2 linked regions of the Caenorhabditis elegans genome follow. The protein of the gene in region 2 purifies or fractionates together with the protein of the main gene of each other region. This does not show direct contact. Each region holds a gene or a part of one and is shown on either strand. Other genes may lie near its edges.

What was found.
Region 1: the proteins of C44H4.6 (region 2) and gpa-17 fractionate together in Caenorhabditis elegans (co-fractionation; one large-scale study listed by BioGRID). This does not show direct contact.

What each region holds. Positions count from the first base shown.
Region 1 is NC_003281.10:2,583,904-2,591,323, reverse strand, and holds gpa-17 (G Protein, Alpha subunit), read right to left. Parts: upstream 4,770-7,420; 5' UTR 4,734-4,769; coding exon 4,650-4,733; intron 3,825-4,649; coding exon 3,717-3,824; intron 3,646-3,716; coding exon 3,231-3,645; intron 3,077-3,230; coding exon 2,976-3,076; intron 2,930-2,975; coding exon 2,783-2,929; intron 2,449-2,782; coding exon 2,083-2,448; 3' UTR 2,012-2,082; downstream 1-2,011. Other genes in the region: apb-1 (AP complex subunit beta), read left to right, coding at 1-598, 1,720-1,782, 5,818-5,992, 6,675-6,829, 7,047-7,118.
Region 2 is NC_003284.9:14,595,595-14,603,227, reverse strand, and holds C44H4.6 (Protein kinase domain-containing protein), read left to right. Parts: upstream 1-3,882; 5' UTR 3,883-4,069; coding exon 4,070-4,192; intron 4,193-4,414; coding exon 4,415-4,516; intron 4,517-4,749; coding exon 4,750-4,824; intron 4,825-4,879; coding exon 4,880-5,225; intron 5,226-5,270; coding exon 5,271-5,368; intron 5,369-5,414; coding exon 5,415-5,510; intron 5,511-6,488; coding exon 6,489-6,752; 3' UTR 6,753-6,969; downstream 6,970-7,633. Other genes in the region: EOR-2, read right to left, coding at 67-136.

The sequences.
Region 1 (7,420 bases), on a different chromosome or scaffold from region 2:
CGACACGTCATCAACACCAAATGCTGCAAGAAATGGCTCAGCAGCTGCTCCAACAGTTATTCCATCTCAAGATCAAGTTATTGCAGATCTTCTGTCACTTGATTTAAATGCTCCAGCCGCTAGTGCAAATACAGGAGCTTTTGGTGGAGCAATGAGCGGAACAACTTCTATGGGTGGCCTCGATGATCTACTGGGTCTTGGTGGAGATCCGATGCCAGCTGCTCCAACAAACTCGGCTTCCTATAATCCATTTGATGGTCTTGGTGGACTTGGAGGAGCTGCTCCAGCTGCACCACCTTCCCAACAGCCAGCTTCAATTGGAGGACTCGCTGAAATTTTTGGATCTGGTGGATTCGGTGGATCTTCTGGAATCACTTACCCCAAGGAATTATGGTTGGATGCTTCGAAAGCAATGGGAATGCAAGTGGAAGGAACATTTGTTCGACGTGGTGGAAAAATATTCATGGAAATGACAATTACGAATCGAGCAATGCAGGCGATTTCTGGATTTGCACTGCAATTTAATAAGAATTCGTTTGGGCTGATTCCGGTGGAACAAGTCAATCCGGCACCTATTTTGCCGAATCAATCGCAAAATGTACGCGGGATTTTGATAGATTTTGTGTGAAAAATTGGAAAACAACCTGAATTTTGGCTTAAAAATGGAGACTTTTCGAATATTATCAGTTGAAAAGCTTCGAAATTTTTTTTTTTCGAAATTGTCTAAAATATTACAAAACTAATTTTTAATGAAATTTCAAAAAAAATCGAACAAAAAACTTAAATTCTCGAAAAATGCGATTTTTTGTGAAAATTCGATAAGCTTTTTATTTAAAAAAAAAATTCCCCCGAAAAAATTAAAATGTTCAGTGAAAAATCCAAAAATATGGGATTTATCTTCATTTTTAAACTAAAAATCGATACTTTAGACTTAAAAAAAAATCGATTTTTTTAGTGAAAAATTTAAAAATGCGGGTTTTAACCAATTTTTCTTTATTTTTTATACTAAAAATCGATATTTTCTACTTTTTCAAAAAAAAAACGAATTTTTATTTTAACATGATATTTAGCGGGGTTTTCGTTAAACTAAACTGTGAATTCCAATTTTTTGCCAATTGTTGAGTTAATTTATTTTTCGAAATTGTCTAAAAATACTTTTAAAAATCAATTTTTAAACAAATTTCAAAAAAAAATTGAATTTAAAACATAAAATTCTTGAAAAATGGGATTTTTTGAACATTTACAGTTTTTTTTAACGAAAAAAAAATTCCCCCGAAAAAGTCGAAATTTACAATTAAAAATTCGAAAATATGGGTTTTTTTCTTAATTTTTATACTAAAAATCGATTTTCTCAACTTTTTTCAAAAAAAATTAAATATTTTCGGACCTAGTTTAGATTTTAACATGAGTTTCAGCGGTTTTTTGATAAAATAAGCTGTTTTTGAATTAATTAATTTTTTTGGTGTTTGAAAATTTCAAAAATTGAAAAAAAAAACAAAACTAAAACCTTTCTCAAAAAAAGAGAAAAATTTACGTTAAAATCTCAATAAATTCGAATTTTATTCGAAAAAAATGTTGTAAAATTTAAAATTTTTCACGAATTTATGCCAAAAAATTTTGGGAACCCAAAAAGTTTCTAATTTTTTGGATTTTCCAAAAAAAACATATAAAAATTCCTTTAAAACCTCAAAAAAATCAATAATTCGTTTAATTTTCCAGTACACAATCGCCTGTGACACGACGGGAGCAGTTCAAGTGACAACTCCACTCACAAATCTTCAAGTAAGTTGTAGTTTGTAGTATGTACAGAAAACTCTTTTTTTTTTTTTGAAAAACCAAGTTTTTTCCTATTTTTCAAGCTGAAAATCGATGTTTTGAGTCAAAAAAAAAAAGTGAAAAAAAATCAATAATTTAACGAAAAAACATGTTTTTTTTTTACATTCAAAAATGTATTTTTTTTAATCCTGACCTGTAAAAATTGCAAATTTAAAAAAAACCAACAAAAAAAAGCATTTTGAATTTGATTTATTGAATAATTTAACGAATTCGACACAAAAAAACCACGAAAACACAAAAAAATAATTAAATATACCGAGCCTGTGTAAAATACGAGGAAATAATTTCATTCTCAACTGCATAGAAAATTGTGCTCATCAATTGAGCATCAGTTGCCTGAGTATATTTCATATAATAACTTTTCTTATCATTATTCTCCTTCAAAATCTCCTTGAAACGACTTCGAATCGCATCCTTCAAATGATCATAATTCTCCGGTTTTCCCTTTTTTCCCTCTTTTTGAACTTTTGGAGGAATTCCGAGCACCTTCTCGAGCTGCCGCTTCCCATCTTCTTTCTGCATCATTTCTCGGCAAATCTCCTCGAATCGATCCTGTTTATTGAAGAATATCATTACCGTACACTCGTCGACTCCGTTCATTTCGAGAACTAGCTGAAAATCGATTAATTAATCGGAAATTTCCAATAAAAATTGGATTTTTTTCCAGATTTTTCCAAAAAAATCGGATTTTTTTCAAAAAAAATCGGATTTTTCCAGATTTTTTCCAGATTTTTCCAAAAAAAATTGGATTTTTCCAGATTTTTCCGAAAAAATTGAATTTTTTCCAGATTTTTCCAAAAAAATTGGATTTTTCCAGATTTTTCCAACAAAATGGGATTTGTTCTGGTTTTTCCAAAAAAAATCGGGTTTTTCCAGATTTTTCCTAAAAAAATCGGATTTTTTCCAGATTTTTCCAAAAAAATCGGATTTTCCATTCTTTTCTCACCTTGAAAATCGCTGCACTCTTGTCCAACACCGTTCGCCCTTTCACATCCTTATCAGGCTCCTGGAATGCGGCCAACGAGGAAACGTAGAGCAAAAAGCAATGTCCATCAGTAGTTAGAAATTGCCGCATGAATTGTGGGATTTTTACCTGAAAAGTGTCATTTTCCACTGAAAAGATTTGCTTTTTTTCAAACTAATTCGCTCTTTTGTCCTCCCATATCGTGAATTTCAACGCGAAGCTGCTTGATTCGGAATTTGTAGCTTTTGAATGAAACTGTTGGCTTACGAACGTGGACTGAAAGTTGTTTGGATTCACGTTGTGTCAGACTCTCTCAATACAGTTTGATCTACAAAAAATGCGGGAAAAATCAGATGAGATGTCTGCGTCTCACCTCCCGCATTTTTCGGAGATCAAAGCGAAATGGGACTTTCTGACTAGGAAAACTTACCAATATCATCATTGGTTAGCTGATAAGAATGCGTGAAAATATTCCGAATTCTTCCCTCGTCTTTCAAAAAGAATCGTGTTCCGTCCTCGATTTTGACAGGCGGTCCCTGATCCAAGCACCGGCGAATCTGTGGATCAGATAATATTTCGATGATGTACGCGCCGTATTCATCCTCGATTTGATTCGATATATCATAGATATCAACTTCTGCCTCGTACAGCTGTGAGCATCGTCTAAGAACCGCCGCAGCTGCTCCAGAGCTTCTCATATGCTCCTCGTCTGTCTCACGAACCTTACGGATCAGTGAGTTGGCCGCAGTGAGCAGATTGATTCGAACTACGTTCTTTAAGTTCTCGAGCTCATAGTTGTCAAAGATCTTCTCGCGATCTATCAGGTTCCAGCTGTCGTCGTACATCTGAAAATGTGGATTTCAAGTTTTGAATTTTGAATTTTAAATTTTAAATTCAAAAAAAATTGAATTCAAACCTGATAACTCTGCGGTTTCTGTATGCAAAGACATTTGAGCTGCCTGACGATCGTCGTCTTGCCGGCTCCTTCGATTCCGAGCATGAAGAAGTGAATTATATCGCCTTCCTGAAGGTTTTTTGTAGTTTAGAAAATGCTTCGTGAGCCCCAATTCGAAAGCTCTTGTGATTTCGGTACACCCCGATAATTGCAAAATTATTGGAGTTTTCCTGAAGTTGGCAAGCCTGCACATTCGTGTAGGCACGAAAATGCCTTCACCGCCTGCCTACAGGCAAAAATCACCACCACTAATTGGAAACCCCTTAAGCTAAATAAAATAGTTTTAAGGTGTTTCTAAATGGTTTTGAGCCAGATCCCCGCCCGCGAAGTTTGTGGCTAGAAGAGCTTGAAATTCGCCTATTGTAGGCACGAAAATGCCTTTACCGCCTGCCTACAGGCAAAACTCATCTCTATTGAGAACTTGGAAACTATAACTAATTGAACTAGTTATCAAAGTATTTCCAATTAGAAATAGTTCTTTGCCAGATACCCGGGAGATTCAAGCTTGTGGCTAGAAGAGCTTGAAATTCTCCTATGCCTGCACGCAAGAATGCCTTCACCGCCTGCCTATAGGCAAAAATCGCCACGGCTAATTGGAAAACCCTTAAGCTAAATAAAATAGTTTTCAAGGCACTTCCAATTAGACATGGTTTTGTGCTAGACGCCTGGGCTTCGTAGTAGGCAAGAATGCCTTCCCGCCTGCCTACAGGTAAATCTCGTCTCTACTGAGAATTACGGTTAACACAATACCGTTTATAATTGGAAAACCGCCTATAACTAATTAAACTAGTTTTCAAGGTATTTCCAATTCTAGCTTGTCCTAGGTTTCCTATCGAAACAATTCGTAAATTCTTCCGCGTAGGCACGGCTGCCTACAGGCATAACTCGCCTTACCTTCTTAGTCTTCTTTTTATTCTGCCCGTTCATCGTCGTAACCGTATCATTGCCGTCTTCCTCTCGGGAGCACAAGGATCCCATCGTGGCGAAGAGTAATCAAGCAGTATCGATTGATGACTGAAATGTTTTGTGTGTGTGTGTGTGCACGAAGGACGACGCCGCGAAGAGTAAAGGCAACGATAGATATGGGGTATTATGTGATTTGTTATCATAAGAAGAAGAAGCAGAGTGATTGAGGATTGAGGAGGCGGCAGGACGATGTACAAAACGTTTAATGCCATCGTAGTAGTGTCTGTGTGTGTGTGTTCTAAACAAACATTACCTCCTTTTTATTGATAAAAAGGTGTTACTCACCGCCATAAACATGGTGCATTTGTGCTAAAAGTGTGATTTTCAGGCGATTTTGAGCCCCAAAAGCTTGAGTTTTTTGCTTCAACATCCGGTTTTTTTTTTGGAAATTTGTTTTTCGTGCGTGCCAATTAAACGGTTTATTATCACTAAACTGGCAAAATTTCCTATTTTCAAAACGTTTTGCCAGTTTAATAATAATAAAAAGTTCAATTGGCACGTAAAAAAAAACTAATGTTCAAAAAAAAAACCGGCAAAAACGAAGGAAACTCGTTAAACAATTAACGTAAAAGTTGATGTGCAAATCTCGTAAATCGACACAACACAGCGCGCTCTAATGAGAATATATTTGGCCGGCATTTAAAAATAGTCGCTTGGGGTGCACATGTAGCGACTTCAAGCTGAAATAGAAAGTGATTGAATTTTTTTGAATTTTTTTCACATAAATATTCGAATTCAGCGAAAAATTTGGGGTCTCCACCTTAAAAAAGTAGATATTTTTCGATTTTCTTGGTGTTTAAAAAACTCAAAAGGCCCTCGGAATTTCAGTTTTATGACAAAAATTCCAATTTCTTCACATTTTGGAGCAAATAACCCAAGCTTTTGGGGCTTAAAATCGCCTGAAAATCACACTTTGAGCACAAATACACCTCGATTTGTTAGCGTTTTACTGTAAAACTCAAAAGCTCCACGGAATTTTCGTTTCCGTAGAAAAATTTATTGAAAAATATTTGAAATTATTTTTTTTTTTTTGAAAATCTCGGAAATTCAAATTATACATCAAAAATTATCACAAAAACTCCAATTTTTGTTTCAGGTTGCCATTAAAAACGACATCAACGCGTTCTACTTTGCCACCACAGTCCCATTGTTGGCCTATTTCCGAGAAGATGGACAAATGGAAAAACGTGAATTCCTTGAGGAATGGAAGAGTATTCCAGAGCAAAATGAGCAACAGTTTACCCTACAGAATACGCATAATATGAATGCTGGTGAGCGGGTTTTTTTCAGGAAATTTTTTTGAAAATTTTTGGATTTTTAACGAAAAATAAGAGTAATATTTCAATTTAAAACTCTGAAAACTGACATTTTTCAATTTTTTTTCAAATAAATCCGTTTTTTTAATAAAATATGAAATTTCAACGAAAATTATTAAAAACCGCTAAAAAAGTTTTTCCAGACAATTTTTCAATTTTTTTAAACCTGATAAAATATTGGAAACTTCAAAAAAATTCCAAAAATGACTTTTTTAAAAAATTTCCAGGAAATTCCAGTTTTTGAAGCACAATCTCGATTTTTACAAAGAAAAATTGTTTTTTGGAATTTTTTCTAATTAAAACTCACAATTTTTCAATTTTTAAACAAAAAGTATCAAACACTTCAAAAAAAAAATGCAAAAAATCTTATTTTTTGCCTTTTTTTTTAGAAAATTGCCAGTTTTGGAGGCATTATTTCGATTTTTACAAAAAAAAAATTAAAGATTATTTTACAGATGTAAAAAAAAGCGAATTTGCAGTTTTTAGAATTTTTCGAAACTTTCGAATAATTCTCCGGTAAATTTACATTTTTGTAAAAAAAAACAAAAAAAAATTCCATTTTTGAACTACAAATCTGTATTTTACAAAATTTTTAAATAAAAAACTAATTTTTTTCTCGAAATTTCCCATTTTTCAGACGCAATTTGCACAAAACTACAACAAAACAACATTCATACGGTGGCACGGCGACAAGTTGACAATCAACAACTTTTGTATCATTCTGTCAAGTATACGAACAATTTGAATGTGCTCTCAGAGCTCAAAGTCAACTCACAGACCACGTCGATTACGGTAGGTTTAACGGATATGCCTACCTGCCTGCCTTATGCCTACCATATGCCTACGTGCCTACCTTCTGCATACAAGCATACCTGTTACTAGATAGAACATTAAATTAAATGCGAAAATATCGGAAATCATCCCAAATTGAATTGTAGGCAGGACCGTAGGCAGGCAGGCATAGGCGGTAGGCAGGCGTGAGCCTGACGACCTATATGTTTTTTTGCAGCTCTCCCTAAAATCGAAGAATCTGATGGCGATTGCAAACATCAATGAAGTATTCCAAGCGCTTCTCAACTGATTTAAATTGCCTTTTCCCCTAAATAATTCTGAATTTCCCCCCAAATTTCACTTCTAATGTATTTTTGATTATTATTATTATTGTGAAAAAATCAGTCTTACCAAAAAAAAATTCTAATTTATTTTTATTATTTCTGCTGAAATTTATCCCCCGCTCCACACACAAGATATTTATTTATTTATTGAATGTTCTATAGATTTTCCAACACAAAAAAGTATAAAAGTTATTGCAATAACCCCCGTTTTTTCCGCTGTGACCGAGAAATTAACAAAAAAAAAGTCGGCCACCGATTTTTTTTGCAC
Region 2 (7,633 bases):
ATAAGTTTAACAATAAGTTTTAAATTTTAAATTTTAAGTTTTTTTTTTTAATTTCTTATTGCTTACCATTAAACTGCCCGGAAAACCCATTTGCCGAAAAGTCGGGCAGCAAAGATTTTTGATTACGTTGATCCATCGAATTTCATTAGTGCAGTTAGATAATCTACAAATTGGCTATTAATACGGAAACCAAACCTATAAATAAATCTAGTAAAACGCGGAAAGCAGCAAAAAAAAACGCTTTCGTTACACAATTCGAATGACCGCCATCCTATTGATTTTTCGTCCGCGAGAGGAGGTCGGCGCAAAAGAACACATCGCAGTCGGTCGCGTGTGTTTACATGTGAGTAGTGGTTAAGGATCGGAGAGTGCAGAGAAAGAGGACAAGTCGACTGGACGGACGGACTGAGTGACTGTGTAAGGGCGAATAGGCACGCGGGTGTAATTATATGAAGGGTAATGGAAGAGATAGTGGCTGTACGGACGAGGATGTTTAAAACGTAGGCCATATTGATGCTTTCCGCGATTTTTAATACAGGAGACTAATCAAAAATAGACATCACGATAACTCATAAATGCATCTTTTCAATTATTACATTGTAAGGAAAAAGTAGAAAAAGCTTAATGTATTCACTTGATTTATTTTCAGGTTTAGTTTTTCCATCCGCAACAAGAATTTTAAGGAAAAAAGAAAAATGAATGAATAGTAACTTTTCAAATAGATAATACAAAAATACTGAACCTAAAAGTTTAAAAAATGTCTTATCAGGTTTGTTTCATTTTAAGTGTGCTGTGCATATGTGTTACCAACAGGAATCGTTTTTTTTTTTGAATGCATGTTTCAAATTCAGAAATTCCGTTGTCAATTTTTATTTTATCCGTAACAGAAAATAGAGAGAGTATACAAAATTACCACATATTGATTTTAATGAAAATCACCACAGTGAAGTCTTGTTCTGTTTTCGGAATTTCGAAGAGTGGATTATTTAAAATTTTTATTGCATCCAGTTCAACATTCTGAAAAAAATTTCTTGTGTTTTTTGAAATGAATAGCGCAGTTACAAAGACGGTGGTACATCGACCTGAAAGAACAGAAAATTTGCTATTTTTTCTGGTAGGACACTTTTTTGCTACTCGCAATTAACCAGTCTAAAATAATTTCCACACGTTTTAATGGTGGTAGCAAAAAAAAAATTTCTTGGATTTTTTTTGGAGTGAATAGTGTAGTTGCAAAGACGGTGGTACATCGACTTGAAAGAACAAAAAAAATTATATTTTTTCATGTACGGCACTTTTTTGCTACTCGGAAAATTCGAATTTCAAAAAAAAATTCAATACGGAGGAAACAAAAATAGCCATATTTTCAAAATAGGTATTTTTTTGCTGCCAGTGGTTAGACGTTTAGTGGAGATACACTTTACAAAGACAATTTGTATTTTTGATTAAAAAACAGCATAGTTTGAAATCTGCAACGTGTTATATACAGGTCTTTTTCATGTTTCATTCATTCAGTTAATTCGTCTTTGTTTTGGTAATAAATAAATTACGATTTTGTTTTGATGTTACGTTATTGCAAAATTAAAAATTCTTGATTTGTCTACGAAACTATGCTGTCAGAACTCGACAAAATCTAGTTGAAACATTTTTCATTCAGTATAAATAAAATTTTGGATTTGATGTGCTTCAATAAAATGTAAAAATTGTTTTATTACAAGTTTAAAGGTTAAACAATAAGTCAATACCTGAAATTGAAAAAGACAAGACCATTGCATTAATTTTCCAGATCAGTATTATTTTGAGAATTGCTTTAAAACGTTAATGCTAAAAACCTTTATTTGTAGTTTTTAAACCGGCTAAAGTGAGAAGTCTTATACATATGTTTTCCGCGTTGTTGTACAAAAATTGATATTTTAGAAACACTTTTTGTAAAATATTGAACTACTGTTCTTGTATACATAGAGAGCTGGTCAGAAAGAAATTCCCTTTTCTGTCAATTTTGTTATTTTTTTTAATGGCCTGCGAAACAAGAAATGCTATTGAAAAAAGTTAAACTGAAAAAAATCGCTTATAAATATGTCTATTTATTTTTATAAAGTTCAATTTGTCATAAACAGCATGACTAGAAATATAGCGGCCGACATCTCGAGAGTCAAATTTTAAATTATGGTTGTTAAAACAATTGAGACCATCTGTCAAAAACAGAGCCCGGTTCAATTCATTTAATCACCTTCGGCTCAAGATAATCAAATTCATCACTATGAAATCAAAATCTTTGTAGGCTTTGAAAAAGTATGTGAATTGAAATTGTGTTAAAATATTTTGAATCAAACACAATTATTATTAAAAAACAACAAAGACTCTTCAATATCAGAATTTAATTTTTTGGTGCGATTTTAAAACAATGATAATTGCCTATTCTGTTCATCACCGTCAATTTTAATAAATCACGTTTCTGTGTTACATCCGTTTTTCAAAATACCACTTCTGAGAATGTATTGAGTTTGTTCCAATACTAGAACGACAAGTCATAATTTTCCTATTCTCAAGTACTAGCTCTCCCTTCTTCTTCAAACATTTTTTTTTCTTCGTGCGGTTTTTTCCCAATAAAGTTCTTTCCAGTTGAAACCACGGAACATCTTTTGTTTTTGTCTCGCCAGACTTGTCGTGTAAATTCAATTTAATCAGTAAAATTTGACAGCAGCTTTGAGTTTTTGAGTCTATAAAAAAGGAAAATACAAATCCGGTTAAAATGTGATTTCTTGTTTCATATGATCAAAGTTTTTCTGGATACCACATTTTCGACATCAAATCGAAAGCTCTTGCATTTTTGAATTTACTGATACTCACAAACATCGAAGAAAAATGTTCCGGTCATCCGAGACATCTCGGCATTGCATCAAAGTTCTCGAAGGGTTAGTTATTACTACAAACTTTTCACAAGATCACTCTTACCAATCGTCACTTTTATTGTCTTCTTACCCTTTTCCCTCACGTTTTTGAATAATTGAGCGTGGTTTTTTTTCCCTATTTTTCGGAGGAGTCTTTTGTTAGAAAAAAAAAGAAACCCGACTCTTCATTTTAGAGAAAACCAATACAAATTGTTGATAGATCCTGTAACATTTTAGTTTCTAGCTTTCTGTTCAAACTTCATATGAAACTATAAATTTTGAGTTTAAAACTAAGTTTTATCAAAAAACAATATATGCATAATGAGTTGAAATTTTCGATTGTTGAACTTTTTAGTATTCAATTTTTACCGTGATTGGGGGATTTATCCGCAAAACTTATTGGCTTAAATACTCTTACCAGAAGCCAAAAACTATCAACAAAAACATTTCAACCATTACAAAAAACTCCGTTATCTTTTTCACAATTCTACACATATAAATTTTTGCAAAAAATATCCATAGCACTAGCTTTGAGAAAATAACTGATTCAACTAATTCTGGGCATTCTGGACAACGAGAAAGGCTCTCTAGTGAGTGTTATATGTAGGATTATCAATATGTCAATTTCACTGCTAACTGGCTCATCATGCCAAAGTTTTAGAAATTTTTCTTGAAAATACATACACGAAAAGCATAATTTTTTATTGAGAAAAACCAATTGGTTTCAAAGCTTCTTGCATTAAAAAAGAATTGAGCCTCCAAAGCTTGTCTTTTTTCCACTAGATTTTAAGAAATTTGAATATCCGTTTTCTTTATTTTTTGCTCAAAACCAGGACAGCTATTAGCTCTGTGCATGTTTGCGTTTTCTCCGAGCGCCATGCATCTTTTTATGTTTTGAACTTGAGATTATTTCTGGTAAGCATCTTTTTTCGGACGGTTTTCCCTGCGGGCTATTTTTCTTTGCCCGATTCGCACAGAGTCTATCTTGTTTATGGCGTTTCTGAAATCCAGATTCTTGAAGAAAGGCGTAAAACCAACTAAATATTCCCCAACCCGGAAACCAAAACCATAACAATGGCTAGGATCCCAAAATCCGATGCATGTTTTTAAAGTTAAAAAAAAAAACAAGTCATTTTTAAACTATTCCATTCGCTTTTCATTATTTTACAATTTTTTCAAAAATGAACAGAATGCGTCGATCAACTGCATTTTCGGAGCACGTGACTTTTCATACCGTCATGGCCAAAAGAGGAACCGGAAGTAAATTAGATCGAGAAGTGGAAATTCAGTTTACAAATTTACAAGTAAGTTTATTTTAATTTTCTTAGCTTATTGGAAAACTCTGAAATGTTTTTTACCTGTAAGATTAAGTTAAAAAAGGTTTTAAACTAGTAGAAAAAATATTTAAAAATATTAAAAAAAAAACTAAAACTAAACAGAACAATTTTTGAAGCCCCAGAATTGTTGCCAGCAACACGTTCTGAAATATGAAAACATTCATACACTGGGAACAATATTCATTTCAGTTAATCGGAACCGGTTCCTTTGGTGCTGTTTACAAGGCTGTGCTCCGCGAGAACGACGAGCCAATTGCAATTAAGAAAATCAAAGTTGACGATCGATTCAAGGTTTATTTTCATTTTTTATTACTTCAAGATACACAAAATGACCTTAAGAAACGAAAAAAAAACCTACTGAAACATTTTTCAGTTGATAAATTTACTATCAAAAATTGAGATTTTGAATTTCTGAGCCACCAGAAATTAATTTTAAGAACTTTTTTAAAATATTCACACTTAACTTTAACTTTATTTTAGACTCATTTCCGTAGTTGTACATAATTTTTTTGTTTTATTTACAGAGTCGAGAACTTACCATCATGCACGAAATGGACCATCCCAATATTATACGACTTCTGTATTATTACGTTATGCAGGTAACTTTTTTGATTAAGCTCACAAATTTGAGCTTACAAATGATGAGAATTCCAGCAAGAAAATTGCCTAAACTTCGTGATGGAATTTATGCCAAAAGATTTGGCATATGTCCATCGTCAATTTGCTCATAATGACAAACAAATGCCAGCCTATTCTATCAAGCTTTATATGTTCCAACTACTTCGGGGAATCGGTTTTCTTCATCTCCACAATATTGTTCATCGTGATATAAAGCCAAAAAATCTGCTCGTTGATGAGTCAAATGGGATACTTAAAATTTGTGATTTTGGATCTGCAAAACGTTTGGAGAAGAATGAGCCGAACATTACGTACATTTGCTCAAGATATTATCGTGCTCCGGAACTCATATTTGGCTCAAAAAACTATGATACCTCAATAGGTATTTGTGAAGTTGGGCATTTTAAATAGAAAATTTAATTTTCAGACACATGGTCAGTTGGCACTGTAGTTGGCGAGTTACTCCACAACTCTCCAATATTCCTGGCGGACTCGGCAGTTGATATTCTAGCGCTGCAAATCAAAGTGACAAATTGCACTATAGTCCTCTAAAAAAACCTGAAATTTTCAGGCATTCGGTACTCCTTCAAAAGAAGACATGGCTAAATGGAACTACGAATATGTTCATATTCCATACGATACAATAACCGGAGTTGGAATTCAGAAAGTAACTTTTTTCCTTCAAAAAAACATTCACTCGGCATTCGAAGGCAACTTCCTGCCACACTTTGGCAACTTATTTAGTGCCACTAAAATAAGTTGCCAAAGTGTGGCAGGAAGTTGCCTCTGAATGCCGAGCAAATGGTTTTTCTCTTATTTTCCCTGAGGTGCTCGAACTCCCAGAACCTAGTTTTTCTTAGAATAAAAATTGAACTTTTACCCGTCAGTATCTTCAAAAGTGTGTACTTAATTCCCAGTGGTGTTGGGTTTTAGGTTTTATGTCAAAAATTTTAAAAACAAACAGGAAATAAATCATAGTCATAAATAGTCAAATTTTGTGACTTTCGAAATGTTAGTAGTCTAGACGAGATACTTTTGAAGAGTTGGACTAAAAAAAGAGTATTAAGCTCAAATTGGATGCTGAAAAAATTGTAGTAAATTTTGAATTTCCCGAATAACCAGGTTCAGTTAATTTTGTGTAAAATGTTGGACGGGTAACAATGTCTGAGATTCTAAATTCTAAAAAGCGGTCTTTGTGTATAAAACAAATTTAAACTTTGTTTGGTTGACAATTACGGTTGGCATTATTTTTTAAATATAAAAGCCAAGAAAAGTAACAGAAATAAATGAATATTCAAAAAAAAAAAACTCAAATCGTCGATAGGTAAATTTTGAAAAATTGAATACATTCTGAAAAGCGAACAGTTTTGTCAACTTTTAAAATCTAGCAATTAAAAGTTTTCTTTAAGTAGGCAACTTTAAGTGTACGTACACAGCGGAATTTTTTTTCCATCATTTTTCACTTTTTTTAAAAAATAATTTATTGATGAAATTTGAGATCAATTAATAAAAACGCAATTTGTCGTGAGCACCTCTGTAGGCAGGCGCTGGTTGCTTGAAAGACATTACGTTGCATGACATTTTTGTACGAACTCAGAGTAATATATACAAATCCGGATTTTCAACAATATACTCTTCTTTTCAGTTCATTGGAAGAAAACTTTCCTTATCCACCCTCGAGTTGCTCAACAGTTTGATGAAAATGGATCCGAAACTTCGTATAAAACCATACGAGGCTCTGACTCTTCCATACTTCGATGATCTGAGAGACCCCCACTACAAGCTGCCCAGCGGTGCTCCGATCCCGCCACTTTTCGATTGGCTCGAGAGAGAGTACATTGCCAACCACGAGATAATTAAGGACATTTTCCCCCGGAGTGAGGAAGGCGACAAAGTTGAGTGCTTGTGAGAAGTTAATTACTTTGTTTATTAATATTTGCCCTCTTTAATTTTTAAGCGTTTTTTTTTCAAACTTTTTGTAAGAAAGCTTTACCGCTTTTTGTATAAAAATGTAGGCAATTTTGTAGACAATGTTCATACATTTGTATATATTGATAACAATCAAGTGTATCAGAGAGAAATAAATAATAACAAAAATTGAGAGACAAATAAAGAGATGTTTGATTTCAGTTCAGATATTTTTTTGAAAACTTGAATGAAATGATGAAGATAGCTGCGATATTTGAAAAATCATATTTTAATAAATTAGGTGTGCGTGTTCTAAGTTCAAAAGTTTAAATAATTACATTTTATAAGTAGAAGAGCAAATTTTTTCAGTAGCCGCAAAAGTCATAAAAAACGAAAGAATTTAGTTTTGCCTCAAAGTCCGCAAACAGATGTTTAACTTAACAGTTTTATAGTTTTACATGTTTTTTGTTAACTTAGGCTTTTTACAGCAAATTTGATATTGTTTTTGCACTTGTTGCCCAAAATTATGGCCTAAATCAAAATTTAAAATAAACCATAAAAAATGAGAAATTATTAAATTAAAATTGTCACGAGCAGTTCGTCAAATTTTAGGCTACATCTTATTTTTATATATTTTAGACACTTCAAAATTTAAAATTCGCTACTTCAACCATTAAAAAATTTTACAATTACACACTGACAAAAAAATGATCCCTAAATTTCAAATTTAGGACTTGCTTTCCAGAGAACAGAAATCCAACTTTAGGTCTTTAATTCATTGAAGAAATGTGATTTTTATCTGTTTAGAAAGCATTTTCAGTCTTTTCTGCCATATAGGCTAACCCGATAACTTGCAAAATTAAACGAAAAAAAAACATTGGT